4 linked regions of the Ovis aries genome follow. The main gene of each other region encodes a partner of the protein of the gene in region 3 in a complex. Links are inferred from orthologs where the notes say so. Each region holds a gene or a part of one and is shown on either strand. Other genes may lie near its edges. The genes, in order: cytochrome b-245 chaperone 1, NCF2, CYBB and cytochrome b-245 light chain.

What was found.
Region 1: the proteins of CYBB (region 3) and cytochrome b-245 chaperone 1 are in contact, whole or in part, in a cryo-EM structure (PDB 8KEI), measured with the Homo sapiens proteins. The link is inferred for Ovis aries from reciprocal best matches to the Homo sapiens genes CYBB and CYBC1. Residues at the interface, in NP_000388.2 of Homo sapiens: Trp28, Asn74, Leu75, Leu76, Ser77, Phe78, Leu79, Arg80, Gly81, Ser82, Ser83, Ala84, Cys85, Cys86, Trp206, His210, Phe212, Pro266, Met268, Trp270, Lys271, Ile273, Tyr280, Tyr324, Phe326, Lys328, Leu335, Glu336, Trp337, His338; in NP_001028218.1 of Homo sapiens: Arg22, Leu26, Ala37, Ser41, Gly42, Asp43, Trp47, Phe50, Tyr51, Phe57, Gln61, Asn62, Glu64, Lys77, His97, Asp98, Gln99, Val100, Val101, Val102, Leu103, Arg108, Ser111, Glu115, Val117, Arg118, Tyr119, Phe120, Arg129, Ala131.
Region 2: CYBB (region 3) and NCF2 share a complex: the UniProt entries of both Homo sapiens proteins name them as parts of the phagocyte NADPH oxidase complex. The link is inferred for Ovis aries from reciprocal best matches to the Homo sapiens genes CYBB and NCF2.
Region 4: the proteins of CYBB (region 3) and cytochrome b-245 light chain are in contact, whole or in part, in a cryo-EM structure (PDB 8X2L), measured with the Homo sapiens proteins. The link is inferred for Ovis aries from reciprocal best matches to the Homo sapiens genes CYBB and CYBA. Residues at the interface, in NP_000388.2 of Homo sapiens: Thr116, Ile117, Leu120, Phe121, Val123, Glu124, Asn128, Asn133, Lys161, Asn162, Pro163, Gly166, Leu167, Ala170, Val180, Thr183, Leu184, Ile187, Leu188, Thr191, Ser192, Thr194, Lys195, Thr196, Ile197, Arg199, Ser200, Tyr201, Glu203, Val204; in NP_000092.2 of Homo sapiens: Gln3, Ile4, Glu5, Trp6, Met8, Trp9, Glu12, Gln13, Ala16, Ile20, Thr23, Val27, Gly31, Phe33, Thr34, Gln35, Arg56, Arg59, Met65, Gly102, Phe103, Leu104, Leu105, Ala106, Ile108, Leu109, Ala112, Cys113, Ile116.

The regions. Positions count from the first base shown.
Region 1 is NC_056064.1:49,808,010-49,812,947, forward strand, and holds the start of cytochrome b-245 chaperone 1, read left to right. Parts: upstream 1-1,680; 5' UTR 1,681-2,488; intron 2,489-2,782; 5' UTR 2,783-2,826; coding exon 2,827-2,911; intron 2,912-3,707; coding exon 3,708-3,749; intron 3,750-4,548; coding exon 4,549-4,622; intron 4,623-4,938. UniProt on the Homo sapiens protein: Functions as a chaperone necessary for a stable expression of the CYBA and CYBB subunits of the cytochrome b-245 heterodimer. Controls the phagocyte respiratory burst and is essential for innate immunity.
Region 2 is NC_056065.1:64,050,288-64,054,717, reverse strand, and holds part of NCF2 (neutrophil cytosol factor 2), read left to right. Parts: intron 1-286; coding exon 287-428; intron 429-648; coding exon 649-717; intron 718-1,908; coding exon 1,909-1,984; intron 1,985-3,965; coding exon 3,966-3,991; intron 3,992-4,418; coding exon 4,419-4,430. UniProt on the Homo sapiens protein: Subunit of the phagocyte NADPH oxidase complex that mediates the transfer of electrons from cytosolic NADPH to O2 to produce the superoxide anion (O2(-)).
Region 3 is NC_056080.1:37,145,648-37,149,612, forward strand, and holds the end of CYBB (cytochrome b-245 heavy chain), read left to right. Parts: intron 1-679; coding exon 680-806; 3' UTR 807-3,226; downstream 3,227-3,965. UniProt on the Homo sapiens protein: Catalytic subunit of the phagocyte NADPH oxidase complex that mediates the transfer of electrons from cytosolic NADPH to O2 to produce the superoxide anion (O2(-)).
Region 4 is NC_056067.1:13,434,553-13,439,460, reverse strand, and holds the start of cytochrome b-245 light chain, read left to right. Parts: upstream 1-1,765; 5' UTR 1,766-1,816; coding exon 1,817-1,874; intron 1,875-4,908. Other genes in the region: MVD (diphosphomevalonate decarboxylase), read left to right, coding at 1-1, 432-512. UniProt on the Homo sapiens protein: Subunit of NADPH oxidase complexes that is required for the NADPH oxidase activity that generates, in various cell types, superoxide from molecular oxygen utilizing NADPH as an electron donor.

The sequences.
Region 1 (4,938 bases), on a different chromosome or scaffold from region 3:
AAGATGTAATGTATTGATAACTGGAAAAAAATGTACAGATTTTATTCACTCAGTCCCCTATTTGTGTATTTTGTATTTATTTCCAGTCTTTTGCTCTTACCTATATTCAGCAGGATTTTAATCAAATCAGCCATCATTTGTTCTCTCATTTAACATTAATAGAAAGCCAGTGTAGGCTTCATTTTTAAATGGCTTGTACTCTGGTATAAAAGGTTAAATTATGTCAAGGACTGTAATGCAAAGTGGAATTTTCTGGGTATCAATTCAGTTCTCCCTAAATTCTAAGGAATTAAGATCACAAGCAGAGAGGACTTAAAGGAGGTGCTAAGCAATTCAAATAGACCTTCAAGATGGCGGTAATCTTACCACAGAAGGCATTTCAAGGAAATAGAATGTGGGCTGAGGCATCAGGTCAGGGAACCTGCCACATTCTTGCAGAACCTACTTTTGTTACAGCTCTGAGCTTAAGTTCTCTGGGTGTGGTTCTCAGAGCAGCAGGCACCAGCATGAGTACATTTCAAGCCCCATCCATTGCTGGAACAGGTCCAGTGGTCTGTGTTTCAGTAGCCCCACCAGGTGATTCTGAACCACAGGCAGAGTACATAGAGACTGGTGAAATAGAAAAGTCATCCCCCAATTTTTGACATTGTGCCTATATTGGTAAAACATCTAGGGTTATGCATACCCATGTGTGTATATTTCTTTATACACTGTGTATAAGTCTTATGTAAATTATAGGACACATGAGAATAGACATAAAAAGATAAGTAGGAATACAAGCTCTAGTATGTTCTTCCAGCACTCTATAGATCATCTTGACCGTCCCAGTTTGGAGGCCACTGATGCAGTGGCTGTGCGGTAGAGGCTCTCCTGTTTCAGGTAATCCTCTAGTGGGAAATAGGCAAATCAGGGTCCTACTTGGGGCCTCATCTGGGGGCCCTGGCGGTACATTATGAGTGTTTTGCTGGAGAGTGGAGCAGGGAGGCCACCTAAGCGGCCATTTCAAGGTATTCCTGGAGAATATGATCTCTTACTACAGTCCTCCTTCCCCTACAATGGGGCAAGTTTAGGAGGAGCAGAAAAACTGCCCTCACGAAAATGTGAATTTCCCAGCTACACTGAGTTTTTTTGGGGGGGTCAAGGATCTCTAGTTCTCTCCTACCCTCCTCCACAGTGCCTTGCAGCGCTGTGCCGATTTTTCAACCTGTTGATACTCTTACTAGGTTCGCAATTCAATCTACAGAGCAAGTTGGGAGAATTCACATTTGTACTATAATTTTCCAAACCACGAACAACTATTTTAGTTCTATTTTAATGCTTCCCATTAAAGTTTTTACAGAACCTACCATAATGTTTGTATGTATCTGTTGTGAGCTTAAATATATACTTCACGTTTCCTTACCATCTTAAATGGCTGTCCCGTGCTTACAACTTCACCTGCCTCCGCTGATCTTCTAAAGACTGCAACCCCAGGCGCTCTGTGCTGAGTGCCGGGGTGCGCAAAACCCATGACAGCCTCCGCAATCTCTACTGATTGGTAGTCAACCTCATTCTAGAGCCCCGCCAGCCCTCTTCTCTCGAGGGCTAAATGGAAGCCCCGGAAGTCAGGACCCGCGCGCCTCGCCCCGCCCCCGAGTCTGGAAGTCTACTGTCCCATCCGCCCCCGCGGGTCCGGAAGTCAGTTGGTCCCGCCCCCAGCTCCGGAAGTTGGAGGCCGGCGCGTTTTGAAGTCCTGCCGGTCCCGCCCGTCCCGCCTCCGCGCCTGCAGGTTTGTGTCTGCGGTGAGCGCCCGGGCTGTGCCACGGTTGCGGGTTGGGGGGCGCGGGGTGTGCTGAGGGGCGGCTCCCGCAGCCGAGGTCCTTCCGGGAGCGCGGTCTTGTGACCCGGCCCGGGTCGATGCCCCGGGGGCCTGGCAGCGCTCGAGGCTAGAAGGGTGCACAGTGTGGCCGCAAGGGTCAGTGGAGAGTGTCCTAAGCGGCTCGTGCAGGTGACAGGAGTGATCTCGCCCCGCGGGCGGCCGAGTCGCGTGTGGAAACAGGCGAAGCGTGTCAAAGGGAGGGAGCCGGGGATATCGCAGGATCTTGGCTTCGTTTGTGTGAACTGAATCCACTCTTTGTTGTCAGAAATTTGACAACTTTACAGAGAACACCTGAAAAGCTACCCAAAACGGGGCCCCTGGAGCCAGCATTTTGAACGTATTGCAGGGCAGAATTCTCCACTTGTGGAAGATCAGTCCCCTTTGCTGACTCGTTCATTAAGCTGGTGCTCCTGGCCGTCCAAACCCTCCGCTGGGTGCGGACTGTTGTCTCCGCAGCTGCAGGAACTGACTTTTCGATCAGTGCCTCTCATCAAACCATGACGAGACTTTCAGTTCTCTTTTTCATAGGCCTGTACAGGGAAATGAGGGTGTTCTGGTACGTTCTGATAGGGTGCCAGAAGTTTGGAGGCTGCTGGGGGCTAACGGTTTCCAAGAGACTGAGGTTTCCAGGTAAGAAGTGGACAGGTGATGATCAAATGTTGAAGCTTTGTGAGCCAGAGCAGGGGACATAGCCCCAGTGCAACCACTATATCTGCGCAAAGAACCTTCCTTACAGAGGACATGGGTCCCTAGGGGGTTGACTTGCCTGACCACAGGACAGCAGTCAGCACAGGCTGAGTGGTTTCTGAACCTGTGTGGACCTTGTCAGTGGGCAGCTGGGCATCCTGTCCTGGAGAGCAGCTGGGTTCTTGTCTGTTAGCAGCGGCCCAAGGGCTCCAGCTGTCTCTTTGTGTCCTTCCCTAGGCGCCCTGGTCTCTTGTTGAAGGTGGTGGCAGCACGTTCCAGGGATGTATATGCAGGTGGAGACACGCACCAGCTCCCGCCTCCATCTGAAGAGGGCTCCAGGCATCAGATCCTGGTCCCTGCTGGTTGGTAAGGATGTTCATATTTCTCAAGTTAAAAATCCAACTTTACAAAAGGATGAAGATTAAACTAAAATTTTCCTTGGTTCTACTACCCCAGGAAATAGCAACTATTATGTCTTTCCAGCTTTTATCCTTTTCGAGTGCTTTTACAGAGGGTCAGTCTTGTGTTTTTTCACCATTTAACATCCTTTGGTTAATAGTCTCCATGCTCCTGTGAGGTCCCTGTATTTCCTTTTTTGTTTGCTTTCATAAGGTTAGGGCCTGTGTGATGGAGACAGTAAGGAGTAAGGGTGGGGAGGCCCCTGGTCCTGTACCCTGTCAATCCCCATTGCCCTGCACTCCCTGGGCAGCTGCACATGTTAATTGGAACTGAGGTGTGAGGGGAGGTGCTGCTGCACCTTCGGCAGCCTGGCTCTGGGCCTTCTTTCCCGGGACTCTTCCTGTTTCGTCTCGTGCGGGGTTGTGATTCTTCACCTGCAGTCTTGTCTTCATTCCACACCATGTGCTGTCAGTGGATGAGACCCACATCAGGTTCCTCTTTCTGGTTCCCCTGTCAGCTCTGGAACCTCAGCGTAGACATGTGACCAGTGAATACTGTGACTGAGGTAGAACATTCTTGTAAACAGACTTCCTGGTTGTTTCCACAATTTCTGAGCCTGGCGGTTTTCTTGCCCCCCTGCTCCCTGCTCTTAGCCATCCCTGGCAGCAGGGGGGGCTGCTTACCTGGGTCTGCGGGTCATGGGAGGAGGTGGTCTCTGGGCTAGTGGTGGCCCAATGGAAAGGGACTGGTTTTCTCCCCACAGGAATCTTGTCGATCGGCCTGGCTGCTGCCTACTACAGTGGAGGTGAGGAATGGCATCTGCCCTGCCCCGCCCCATCCCTAGGAGCTTCCTTAGCTGATTGGAAAATAAGAGAAAAAAAGGAAACCCTGTCATTTGTAATCTGATAGGCATGATTTGGGGGATTGTCCCTGCCTCTAAATGGGGCTTCCCTGGTTGCTCAGATGGTAAAGAATCTGCCTGCAGTGTGGGAGACCTGGTTTCTATCCCTGGGTTGGGAATAGCCCCTGGAGAAGGGAATGGCTACCCACTTCTGCCTAGGAAATCCCATGGACAGAGGAGGCTGGCAGGTTACAGTCCATGGGGTCATAAGGAGTTGGACTTTCTTCCTCTAAATGGTTTGCAGGCGTGGTCTCACCTTCATGCGCTTGTGTGCCCCCCACAGCTTGCATTCATTTACATCAGCATTTTCATGTCATAAAATATGCAGAAAGGCACTCTCATGTCTGCCTCAGGTCTTGTGGCAGGAATAGTCTATGCTTTCAGCAGCTCCCTGGAAGTAGTCCCCCATCTCTGCTCTCACACACGGTGCCATGATCGTAATCTCGAGGAGTCACCCACGTGGAGAGCTGAAGGCAGAGCTGGTGGACCACATCCTGCCCTGTGTGACAGGGCCCACAGTGCTGGATGGCCTTGGCAGGGGTGGGGTGTCCTTGGAGGCATGGGCAGTCAGCTGGGCCCTCAGGGGCCACTCCTGCCCAGAGTCTGGGAAGCAGCTGTTCTGGGAGGAGGCACCCCCTGTAGGCATGTTGACTTTTGCCCCCCTGCTACCTGCCCATGGCTGTCTCCTGTGTTTGCTCCCCAGATAGTCTGGGCTGGAAGCTCTTCTATGTCACGGGCTGTCTGTTTGTGGCCGTGCAGAACCTGGAGGACTGGGAGGTGAGGCTGATGCAGGAAGGGTGCCCAGGCTTTGGGGCTCCTGGGTTCCCCTGCAGGGCTCGTCAAAGGAAGAAAGACTCCAGGGTCCTAATGCCCTCCACCCCGATCCTGAAATGTGAGCCCAGTGGTTTCTGGCCAGCTTGACTTGGCCCCTGGACATTGCCTATTTGTGACCATTTGTGGGCCACAGAATCTTCTGAAGCTGCTCTCCTAGAAGGGCGAGGCCACCTCCCTCTCCTCCCTTTTGTCCTTCCTCATGTGTCCTTTGGGTTGCCTGGCCCCAGTATTGTTCTCTGCCCTGTTCCCTCATTTGATG
Region 2 (4,430 bases), on a different chromosome or scaffold from region 3:
AAGGCATCATCGAGTGTTGTGTGATGTTGTTGTTTTTTTAGCTCTTGTCCCACTGCATGTGTGGTCACGGAGCATGTTCACAGGCAGAGTCCTCTCAGGCCGTCAGATGGGCAAATCCCTGCTCAGGGTCGCCTGGGCAGTTAGGGGTGGGAGTGAGGCTCCCAGCTCTGGGTCCATAGTTGCTGACCCACAGCATCATGGGAACAGATGTGGTCCAGGCTAGATGGTGGGTGAGATCTCATATCTTGTGTCTACCCCTCCTCTTCTCCCCACCCTCATCCCGCAGGGCCCTGGAAGGGGAAGCCCACCGTGTGTTGTTTGGGTTTGTGCCTGAGACCCCAGAGGAGCTGCAGGTCATGCCGGGGAACATCGTCTTTGTCTTGAAGAAGGGCAATGATAACTGGGCTACAGTCATGTTCAACGGGCAGGTATTCAGAGGATGGGGGGGGTGGGTGGGTTAATGGCACAGGATCCTGGCAGCACATGGCAGAGCTTTTTGAGGAGCAGCATCTGCTGCCTTATATGCAGGCCAGCTGCCCCCTCTTTCACCTGTCCTCCCACCCCTCCCCACGTCTCTGGGTGTCCTGCACTGCTGCTGACGTCTGCATCTTTGTTCCCGCTTTCTGGCTCCACGATGCTGCGCTGCAGAAGGGGCTTGTTCCCTGCAACTACCTTGAACCAGTTGAGCTGCGGATCCATCCTCAGCAGCAGCCCCAGGTAATGTAGTGCCAAGGGCTGACCCGTTCCCTTCCTACCCTTGAAACCCACCACCGACAGACCACGGAGGAGAGCAGAGAGGAAGAGGCCCTGAGGACTCACTAGTCCTGAGCCCACCTTGAGTTGGTACCAGCCACCCAGAGCTGAACCTAGGGATGAAAGAAAAAATCCAGACGTGCTGAGTGGAGGCATCAGCAGGTCCTATTGGGCCCCCAGCTCTGTGATTCCTGCTGGTCAAGGGTGACTTGACCACAACTACAGCACGTGACAACTTAGGTCTTCCCAGGATATCGTCTTCATCCGGAAGAAGAGTCAGCGTGCTGGCTGGTGAAATCCATTCACCATAGGAAATGTGCTTTGGAGCACTGAATTAGAGCAGACCTTGCCAGCCACTGCTTCCAATGCCGCTGCCACCTCCACCCACTCACCCCATCTCAATGACCTGCCCTTCTGCCAGTCCTGGGGAGTAGTCTTCGTTGGATCTGTGCAGATGCCTGATGGCAATAGATCCTGTCTCTAGACTATGCAACCAGTTGTCCTCTGTGGGGTTGGCCCTCCCTGGTCAGAGACACGATGTCCAGATGACTGGAAAATTTCTAAATGCCATGTAGATGCGAAGTGTCAAGTTTCTTCTGAAGGAGCAAGGTGTACAGTGAGAGCGAGCAAGTTTAGACAAAGGTCCTACCCTGCCTCCAATGGGTTTCCAGTGTGGCAATTGGGGTGATTAGGTAGCAAGGGCTTTGTAGCTGGAGGATTAAGATTCTTATTTTCTCATTATTATTTCTACTGTGATTGTTTTCACCAGGCCCACTCTGCCTGCCACTGAATCAATACTTTCCTTCAGTTCAGTTCAGTTCATTCGCTCAGTCATGTCTGACTCTTTGCAGCCCTATGGACTGTGGTACGCCAGGCTTCCCTGTCCATCATGAACTCCCAGAGTTTACTCAACCTCATCTGCATTGAGTCGGTGATGCCATCCAACCATCTCATCCTCTGTCGTCCCCTTCTCCTCCTGCCTTCAGTCTCCTCCCAGCCCTTAGTCTCCACTAAATGTCACCACCCCTCCAACTCTTAGGAAGTCATTTGCATCTGGCTCCCTTCCATGGTGGTCTGCAGGGTCTCCCTGACTCCTACCCCTGCCTAAGAACTGTCTGCATGAAGGTTCTCATCCTCTCTTCCTCTCCCCTCCAGGAAGAAACCTCCCCCAAGTCTGATATCCCAGCTCCCCCGAGTTCCAGTGCTCCTGGAAGACCCCAGTCGTCACCAGGTTAGAGTCTCTGGAGGACCATCCCGGGATTGGGTGCAGGAGTGCTTCAGGCTGCCTCCCCACGGAGGTTTCTTCTCCCAGCCTGACAGAATCTGGTTTCTTGTTCTCCCAGCTTATGATCACGATGCCCCAGAGCGCCCCCCCTCATCCTGTGTTACTCACCCACCCCAAACACAGGAAAACAGAAATGCTTCCTCCCTGCCTGCTCCAGAACATGCAGGGAGCTTGGGTAAAGGCAGCTGCTTTCTGGCAGGCTGTGAGCATCCCAACTCAATCAGTTATTAAGTAGTGGGACCTTATCCCAGGAGGAAAGGCTCAAGTAATTGCACCTGTTGACCTCAAAGTGGAGTGGAGTGGTTCTTTTCAAAACACTGAGGAGCTCTATCTAGAAAAGAAACTCTGCACAGTGCTGGAGGATGGACAAAGAACCAACACGAAAGGGAGACTCTCCTGATATGTGGAGACGGCTGCCCTGGGAAGTCATGGACTTTTGGTCACTAGTGCGGGTTAAGCAGATCCTGAGTAAGTGCTTGGTAGAGATGCACTGAATAGGTGGTTTGTCCAGATCCTAGATCAAAGACTGTCATGCCCACCTGGTCACCAGAATCACTGGGGATGCTCCCCACCCCTATTTTTACTTTGAAAATATCAAACCTACAGAAAGGTTGAAAGTATGGTACAATATGAACACAAGAATATCTTTCACTTAAATTCAGTAATTGTTAACATTTTGCACCATGTACTTGGCTCCTCCTCTTGTTAATATAATTTTTTTTCTAGTTGCTAAACCACTTGAAACTAAGTTACAGACTCATGACATTTCACCCTGCACTTCAGCATCTGAATCCTAAGAACAAAGATGCTCTTCTGCATAAGCACAATATAATATCTAGGATAGTGTTGACATATTATATATTATTATATAATATAGATTATATATTTCATATTCAAATTTCTCCTATTATCCTCCAATGTCTTTGACAGCTTTCTTGAATTTATATTTTCTGTCTAGGGGCCCATCAAGGATCACATATTAACCTAGGAAGATTTTAAGAACGTAGAATTAAAGGCCTTTGATTCTGATTTTTAAGGACTGGAATCAGGTTTAGAAACCTGTTTTTCTAAAAAAAAAATCCCAAGTATTCTAATGATCAACTGGGTTTGAGATCAGTGGTCTTTTTTGAGCATGCACTGCTGTTTCCATGGTGAATATCATTATACATACTTTTCTTATATAAATTATATGTGTTTAGTCACTCAGTCATGTTTGACTCTTTGCAATCCCAAGGACTGTAGCCCACCAGGCTCCTCTGTTCATGGGACTCTCCAGGCAAGAATACTGGGGTGGGTAGCCATTCCCTTCTTGGGTTGGGAAGATGAGATCTTCCTAACCAGTCCCAACCATAGGATTGAACCTAGGTCTCCGGCACTGCAGGCAGATTCTTTACCATCTGAACCACTGGGGAAACCCCATACATTATATATGTACTGCTATGTTAATATATGTTATACATTAGAAAACATACACAAGATAAAGGACAAATTAAAAATAAGCAGTTATTTCTCCTTGCGGCTCCTGGCTCATCTCACACTCACTGATTTTGTTTCGATGGAGCCCACCGCTCTAACTGACCTTTGGGCATCTTGCATGATACCACTACACCAGCAGCACTATTATTAACTGTCCTTTGGGATCCCTCCCTAACTGCACGGGCTGGTGAGGATGTGATGGTCCTTTGCTAATTACCTATATGCTGCCTGGAAGCAGAGACTGGGTTCATTTGTGTGTTCATGGCTTTGCCCTTCACATCTACCCAATGATTTCCACCCAAGTTTATTAAGGTTAATAATCACCCCACAGGTTAAAGCGTATAATGTTGGGCACCTGGTTCTAAGTGGTTTCGTCTTGTGTATGGCAGGGGCTAGCCAAGAGTGTTCATTCATCATCTCTCTTTGTTTTACTCTCACCTTCTCCATTTAGGTCAGAAAGGAAAAGAAGAGCCCAAGGTAATTTTTTTTTCCTTGTACTATTTCGAGTGGTAGAGAAAGGAAGAGCTTAGGTTGCCCACCTAACCATTTCTACGGGCGGCCTCCTTGGATTGTAGAAAGAGCTCCAAAGGAAGGGGTAGACCAGTTGTTACCATATATTCAGGGACCAGGGACCCCCCCCCACCCCCGCCATTTGACAATCTCCCCCTCTTCCATGCACACACTGCCTGCTGGCCCATGGCTGGTGGGCCAGGTATCACCCATAGGAATTTTTATCCAAGCATGAGTTGAGCTGGAGGACAGGACTCTGAAGGCCCTCTCATGTTAGTGTGAACCAGGCACTTCTGGGCTTTTCCCCAGCATGGGGTACTTACTCCCTGGGATTCAGTATGTTGCTTGGAGGAAGCCTCAGGCACTGACAGATTCCCTCTGCTGGCTCTCCCAGCAGGAAGTCAAG
Region 3 (3,965 bases):
GAAGTCATAACAATTTAAAAACACAGCTGACCTACTTCAATAATATGTATTCTTGAAAAGCTGACACCAGGGCTCTGGTCTGAAACCACAGCTAGAGGAATAAGGCTTTAGAGTCTAAAAAGTTGAAGGACGAAGCCGCACCAAGTTGTTAGCAGAGTTGCCGTTCCTAACGTGGGTTTGTTCCTGATTTTAAGACACTGGAGTGACTTCCCTCGTGGTCCAATGGTTAAAAGTCCGTGCTTCAAGTACAGGAGGGTGTGGTTCGATCCTGGGTCAGGGAACTAAGCTCTCACATGTCCCATGGTGTGGTCAAAAATAATTTTTTAAAAAAAGATGCTGGAGTGTTTGAGAACACAGAGCCCCGAAACGAAGTAGACCACAGGCTCACAAATTCACCACCATTTTCTCTGTGGTAGAAGTTTCCATAAATCTTGCTTGAATGACATTTTTTTTTTCAATACAATCAGCTGCCTTTTAAAGTAGCCAGCTGCCCCCATAAACAGGACCAAGCCACCCTTCCAAGGGTCACCTGAACTCTGTCATTTGTGGAAAGATAAAGGAGCTGAGGAGACTCTGCTCTGAGGCCTAAAATCAGTAGGAAATCTCCCGATGTGCTTTGTAATTGATCCCATCCCAAAGCCTAAAACTGTCTTTTTCTTTCTCTGTTTCTCCCCAAAAGTACCAGAATAGGAGTCTTCCTCTGTGGACCGGAAGCCTTGGCTGACACCCTTAATAAGCAGTGCATCTCCAACTCCGACTCTGGCCCCAGGGGAGTGCATTTCATTTTCAATAAGGAAAACTTCTAACTGGTCTCTTCCATGAGGAATAAATGTGGGTTGTACCACTGAATAACCAAGTAATGCTAGTGGATAATATAAGTTCCTCCCTTTAAAAAAGATAAAGGAACTATGATGTGATGATTTTCCCTGAAAGGAATGTCAAAGATTTTTAATGGTGATAAATTTGCATTTGTGTGGAGCTTTATGGTTTTCAGAGCAATTATATAAACTTTTTTTTTCATTTTGTTTTTTCCCTTTACAGTAATGCCAGGAAAGGTAGGGCAAAGATTCTCAGACTCAGTTTTCAGGATAAAAAAAAAAAAAAAGGTTCAAAGTGGTGAAGTAACCTCCCTAAGATTAAAGCTGAGACTGGCTCTAGGCCATCTGACTCTAGTTTTGGTGATCTTTCAGCAATAGCAGGTTGCCTGGAAATTGGTTTGCATACTCCCCCAAAGAAGAAGCGAACCAGGGAATAGTTATTCATATTCCCTTTTGTGTCATCTTTGTTATCAGTATTGCTCTATTGAAGGAAATGTTCCAAGTAGGAGATAATTTATCCTGTGAATGATTCATCACTTAATAGTGACGACATCCTCCAGTTTACCAATACAGCAGCCTAACTGGGTCAGAGATTTCTCCTAAAAAAGAATATTAAACTGACTGGATGTATATTTGACCCACCATTTACACTGATACTTGGCAGAGAGTGGATACTCATTGAAAGTTAGCTGAATGAATGAATGAAAAGACATTTAGAACCATACGGTGCCAAGGTAGAATCAACTGAAAGCCTTAAACAGTATTATCTGAGGAAATCACTTCTGATACTCTAGTTGACCAAATGAGCCTCATTCTCTTAAGGGTACAGAACAGGCTAAGGTTAGTAACCAATAGGTTGTCCTGTCCAAACACTCTTATTTGAAGCATTGCACCAAAGGGAGATGGAGGCAGAGAAATAAACTCCTCTTATAATTCTGGCTGGCTCCTTTAGTCCTGCTCCTGCTGATGCTATGAAAGAAATGCAAACTAATTTATTGCCCAAAACGGTCCTCTCCAGCCAGCACTTGTGAATTTGAAATTAAGAATTGTGACAAGAATGTATCTGACAGCTGCTTTAAATAGCATCCACCCTTTGTTTTACTTAAATACACATGGAAAATTGATCTTACTGGTGTAACTAATGATTTATCCTTCTATCATCATGATCATAATAAAATTTACATCCCAGAAACTAAATCCCTAGCTTACTATATAGCTTTTGAATTCATATCCAATAGAATATTCTAGATATTCATGAGTTCAAGAATCTCTAAATCACTCTTAATGTAACTGCTCCTACTTCTGGAAACTAAAAACAAATTTATTTGTTATATTCTCTGCGGCCACAGATATTTAGAAGTAATCAACTTTAATAATGAGAAAGAAGGAGAAAGGAGCAGAGGGGAAGGGCAGAAGACCAGGTTAGGAGGAAAGGGGAGGGAGGGAGGAAGACAATAGAAGGAAAGTGAGAGAAAGCCAAAAACAAAAAAAAGGCAAAAGGGAAGGGTAGGGGAAGGGGGTCACTTTCTACCCCAGATTTCTTAAAGTCTTGTATGTATTGAATGTAATTGCAGGAGCCATATACATATTCATTTTATTCTGATCACATAAGGTATTGAATCTGAAATTCTGGCCACAAATTTGATGCTGAGTGGACCTATTCAGGGGACCAAGCTGAACTAGAAAGAACTCAGTTGTTCCATTGGGTCCCCAGAATGCCCAGGGCACTGAGGGCATCAAGTCAGGCTTGCTTTGGGAAGGTCTTTTCCCCATGATGTCCAGGACTGTTTTTTCAAAGAGAAACTTAGGTCTGCCCCATTCACACTGCACCTGAGGAATCAGTTCATTCATTCAACAAAGCTGTATTGTGTTATTGCTATGACTCAGGCTCCTTGTTTGTGGTTTCATTTCTTTATGCCAAAGTGTGAGCCAGAAGGGGGACGAGAGTTACAGGGAGTCTGAGAATCTGGGCCCTTCCTCCCTATGTGGCATAAGTAAAACCAACTTTATTTGTCGCTCTGAAAATATCTCTGCAGGGTTTTCTATTTTTGACACCCAGAGAGTTACGCCCTGTGTTATCCTGGTTATAAGATGAAAAATGAGTGTAAACGCGCTTGTCATTATAAGAGCTTCCTTCCTGCTCCCCAGCCACTGGCTGCCCGTGCAGCCTTTTTAGCATTTAGTATTTAGTATTTAGTAACAGTTACTGAGAGAATGATTAAGCATTATTTTTAATCTCAAGGCTATGAAGGAGTTTCTTATTTCTTTTGCTTTTGCAACATTGTGTTTATTAATTTGAATACTTGTAGATGTTGTGTGTGAATAATTTGGGAGAGGGGGGCCCTGGGAGAGAATTCTTGGGAAGAACTATCAAAATGGCACTCAATTATTAAAATGAATGAGCTGTGTCTGTGTCTGTGTTATTGATCTTCGTATTCAAGGATGGACTTAGAGGGCATAGATTTTCTCTGCCCCAGTGGGATTGAGATTCTCTGTGTTTTCGTAGATGACATGTCAAACTAGGCACAATTTCTGGATTGAGTAGGGAAAACGAAGTACTGAGTTCTGTACTGATATCCGGGTGACACTCACAACACTGGTACAAGGAAATGGACAAGAGAGTATCACCTGATATTGTAGATAGAATTTCAAAGGCAAAGAAGCCCTAGTATAGCAACTTCTTTTTTTTTTTTTTTCATTTCCACTCATCTTTTAGGTTCTAACTTTGCAGTTCAGTTCAGTTCAGTTCAGTCGCTCAGTCGTGTCCAACTCTGCGACCCCATGAATGGCAGCACGCCAGGCCTCCCTGTCCATCACCAGCTCCTGGAGTTCACTCAGACTCACGTCCATCGAGTCAATGATGCCATCCAGCCATCTCATCCTCTGTCGTCCCCCTCTCCTCCTTCCCCCAATCCCTCCCAGCATCAGAGTCTTTTCCAATGAGTCAACTCTTCACAGGAGGTGGACAAAGTACTGGAGTTTCAACTTCAGCTCATTCCCTCCAAAGAAATCCCAGGGCTGATCTCCTTTAGGATGCACTAGTTGGATCTCCTTGCAGTCCAAGGGACTCTCAAGAGTCTTCTCCAACACCACAGTTCAAAAACATCAATTCTTTGGTGCTCAGCTTTCTTCACAGTCCAACTGTCA
Region 4 (4,908 bases), on a different chromosome or scaffold from region 3:
GGTGAGTCCTGGTTGCACACCACATGCGCCCTGCAGGCTCGCCCCAGGGCATCCACAGGAGGGCCAGTGAAGTAGCTGTGACCCTGCTCCCTGGTTTCACAGCACCTAGTGTTCCCCTCAGTCACTCACAGAATATTTAAGGACTGATGGATGCCTGTGGTGTGCAGGGGTGGGGCTGGACTGTGGTGTACCCTCCAGAGCAGGTCAGGGTCCTATCTGACTCCTAGACCTGTGACCTATGCTCTCCAGGCCTTGGCCTCTGCCGACCGCTCCAGACTTGCTATCCACTCCACGTCTGCCCAGAGGGACTGAGCCTCTGCCTGAGGATTGGGCCCTGGGCCCAGCATCACCAGGGTGTCTGACCTGCCTGCATTTCCTGGAAGGGCAGGTGCACCCTGTCCCTCCCTGATGATAATTTCTTAACCCCACAGGTGGGACCCGGGCCTCAGGTCCTGGACGACCCTGTCGCTCATCTCCTGGGTCCTGACGGTCTGCCAAAGCCAGCTGCCTGACCACCTCTTTGATGGGGCCCGGCCGCCGCTGGGAGAAGGGGCCGCTTCACTGGGATTGGGAGCCGGGTGTGGTGGTCAACAGGCCACGCTTGTTGGGATTTGTGGGTAACTGCCTGCTCTGGGCCAGGCCATGTGCTGTGGCTGAGTTGGGCAATGGATGACGCCTGCAGCCACCCAGATGATCAGGGGAAGCCCCCCCAAGTGCCTCACCTTTCCCTGACCTGCACCCAGCGCTTGCTGAGATGGGGACCTGGACCCTGATCCAAGACCAGGGGACTGAGCCGGCAGGGAGCTGCTGGTGCATCGATCATGAAGGGCCCTCAGGCCCCGGACTCATGGGCACCCCACTGCCACAGGAGGTGATGGCATGTCGGGGTACCCCTCAGAGCTGGAAGCCGGGTCACCGTGCAGGGGACGACCTCAGGACAGCTCCATGAAGTGCTCCCTCAACTCTGAGCCCAGGCCCCTGAGTGGGTGCAGTGTTGTGTCTGCGGGACAGAGGAGCAGTGCCAAGGCCAGAGTAAAGGCAGTTCGAGGACTCACCTGGCCTGGTGTGCTTTCTTCAGCCCTCACCCAGGGGGCTGGGCGGGCATTGTGGGGGGTGGGGCTGGGGCCTCCCCGCCATGCCTGGGATGCTTAGCACAGGCCACAGCCACACAGTGGTGGGTAGACGTGGTCACTAAGGCCGACAGGCTGGGGAAATGGTTCGGGTTTGGCTTTAAGCTCGGTCCACATCCCCCTTCCAAGTGAGTTCCATTCTTCTCCACTGTCCTAACCCAGCTGGGGGAAGAAGGGGGAGGGCTTCTGAGCCCTCTGACCTTGACCCTAAAAGGGAGTCCAAGGAGGGAGGTGACAAAGGACAGGGCCCAGCACTGCTACATTCTGGGTTCTCCCAGAAGCTTCCCATACTCACCCGCCCTACCCCCCCAAGTTAGTCCAGGGTTACCAGTGGGGCCAACACCACCACACCTGCACTAGCCCAGGGCCGGATGCGGCGGGCCTCCCAGGAGTCTCCCCAGGGGCTGGCCTGAAGCCCTGCTTCCCCTCCAGGGGTCCACCGAGGCCGGGCTGGCTGGGCCTGCAGGGGAGGAAGACCTGAGGTCCCGTGGAGCGAGTTGGGGGCAAGGCTCCTGAGACCCCAACCTGCAGCCGGCCTGTCACCTGGGGAAGCGGGTTGGGGCGGAGCCGGCGGCGGGGCGGGGCGGCGCCGGAACTTGGGGAACTTGGGCGGGGCGGGAGGCTTGCTGAGCTCTGGGGCCGCGGGGTCTGAAGAGTCCGAGCCGCGTTCGAGCCGATCTGCCGCCATGGGGCAGATCGAGTGGGCCATGTGGGCCAACGAGCAGGCGCTGGCGTCCGGCCTGAGTGAGTGGGGGGCGCTTTGCACTTGGGGCGGGGGCTGCAGAGGGGCTGCTGAGCCTGGGGGCGGGGCGCCGCGGCAGTGCAGGGGGGCTCTGGGGCTGGGGAAGTAGGGGCCTGGAGACCCCAGGCTGCGAGAGGTAAAGGGGAAAGGGCAGGCTGGAGAAGGGGCGGGAGCAGGGGTCCTGAGGAGCCAAAGACACCCGGCTGGAGCCTGGGGTGGGGCCCCGGGCCCGGAGGCTCCAGTGGGCGACCTACAGCGCCGGCGGGAAGGGGGCTGGGGGCCTCTGTTGGGAGCAGGGGAGGGGGATTCGGGGCCCTCCTGCCCCTGCACCCCGTGCACACCCACACCCCCATCCTCTGCCCTCTTCTCCACCCCCCACACCGTCCCCTCTCCCCTCCCCCGCACACCCTCTTCCCCTCCCCCTCTCCCTCGCCCCCCCCGACACACACAAAAGAGGAAGTTCAGTCTAGGGAAGAAGCGCTTGCCCCCGGGGTTTCCGGAGAACTCACCGCCCAGTAGGGCTGGGAAAACCCAGCATGACCCACCCCTGCCTGGAGTGACCCTCCTGCCCTGGGGTGGAAGCTCCCTCCCCTAAGGCCCCTGGGCTGCGGAGGTGGGCTCTTCCTGCCTCCTGGCCAGGCTTGGTCCATGGAACTGGGTGACCGCTCTGTCTCCCGGGGCGCAGCCCTGAGTCTGCTCAGAAGGACATTGCACAAGGCAGCTGGAGACGACCCATGTGACCCCTCCCACCCAGCTCCCAGGGCCTGCTTCTGGGTAGGAAGGCGGCCGTCCCCCCTGCTTCCCCGTGCTCAACCGCGGTTGCAGACAGTGCTGTACGCACTTGGACTCAACTTCTCAGGAGAGGGTGGGGCTTGAGGCTTGAGGAAGCCCCCCGTGGCCCCGCCCCTCCCAGGAAGGCCCCGCCCCCAGTGAGAGTGGGCGGGCGGGAGGACCTGGGGATAAAGTGATGAGGAGGGTCTCAGCCACCGCGTCTCACCTGGGACCCACCCTGAGGCCCCCACCGCCAACCTGGGGACTGAAGGAAGGAGCCTGCGAAGCTGAGCTGGGGGTGGGGAGGGAGCACTTTAAGGTCACATTTTGGGGGTGGGCAACTTTGGGGTGCCAGGCAGGGCAGCCCCCTTCTGGCTTCTAGATGGCGGAGAACCCAGTGGGTCAGTACGTGGCTTTCCTTGCTTCTGCCCAGAGCTGTCTTCTCCCAGTGCTGTCTACCCCTCCCCATCACCACCGCAATGACTACTGCTTGTCTTCCTCCACAACCTTCTGGCTCTAAATTCCTCCTCTTGCTAACTCCTGACTCAGTACCAACACAGGCCCCACGAGCATCTCAGCCCACCGTCCCTTTATGTTATAGAGAATCGCATCTGATCAGATAACGGTCCCTCCATCTCCCACCACTCTGCCCCTGCCCCTCTGACCTCGGGGGCCCACCACCCTGGTGTTTGCCACAGAGCTGGCTCCCCCCGCTTCACCTCTCTGCCCACATCCACCTGCTCCGAGCCACAGCGCCTACCTCATTCACCATGATCTGAAGTGTCTGTCCACATCGAGAGACCCCAGGCCCCTCTGGGAGCTGAGACTCCTGCTAATGACGCAGGCTCAGGCCAAGGAAATTACATGCCCAGGTCGAGTGGACGAGCCGCTGCCTGAACGCAGGAGCGATGGCTCTTCCCCTCCTCCAGCACAGCAAGTGTGAGCATGACACCAGCAGAAGAAGGCCAGGGTTCAGGGGCTGAAGGGAGGGGTGGGAGGTCAGAGCTTTTACCTCGTGGGACTCTGAGGCCAGACCGGGAAAGGCTGTCTGAACAAGAAACAGATCAAAAGATCGTCCCCTCCAAGGAGTTGTGTTATCTGCCACCACAGCCTGGACGAAGAAAGTCACAAGTAAGACAAAACTGCTGGAAACTCAGGCCTGTGCTACACAAGGGGCAGGGGCTGCCCTCTCCCACTCTATGCCACAGGGACCACCAACGAAGAAGTTCAAGTCATCAGAAAGGAGTGCTGAAGGGTGTGCTCCAGCGAGGGCGAAGCTGGATCCAGAGGGAAGATGGCTATGCCACTGTGAAGACACTGACTGTAAATAATTAATAATTGTGGCTAATTTGGGGTGAGATTAAAGATAAACCTTCTAAAGTCCACATGTAGTTCAGGAAGAGGAATTTTAAAATTACAGTTTGATCAAGTCAGTAGAAGGCAGGAGAAGCAACAAGAAAAGCTGTTCAAGAGGAAACCCAAGTAAGATAACAAAGTAAGTTATCTGTAATCACAGTCAATAAAATGTGTCAAATTCACTATCAGATTGCTTAAAGGGTGAAGAGTTTAACTCTATCAGCTAATTCATAAAAGCCCAACGTTGGAAGCAACTGACATGTCCCAAAGGCAGGAGAATGCATAAATAAATTGTGGGAAACTACCCAATGAGACAAACAGCGAGCCAGAGCTCTGTGCAAACCACCCCAGGAAGGGCCTGGACCAACCTTCTGTCAGCAAAAGAAGAGCCCTCAGAAAACCTGGGATGGGGGAGAATCTTGATATGGGTGGAGGTCACATGGTAGGGGTCACACATGTTAAAAGTCTGTGCACTTTATGTCATAGTGATACCCCAGTAAGTGACTGGAACCCTGAGGATGGGTGGCCGTGATGGAGTGACAGGTGTGAGTGTGCATCACGCCCCTGAGCGGTGCACTGAAGCTGCCGCCGTAGAAGAAAGTCACTGGGGAGGAATGGGGCCGATGCACATGCTCGCGGCAGGTGGGCTGCGATCAGGTGCACACAGGGCTGGAGAGACCAGGCCCACCCAGACCCAGCATCGCACAGAGCACACGAACAGGATCAGCCCACACACCCGAGGCCAGGACCGAGGGTCCACGCAGCTGGTACAAAGTCAACCACCAACAGCGTGGTCCTTAAATGCATTGAGCAAATGCTCAGGGTGCCGTGGCTCACAGGCCTCGGGGGTGTGTCCAGGCTAGAGCCAGGCCCTGCCTCCCTCTCAGCAGCTCCTCAGCCCCCTCCCTG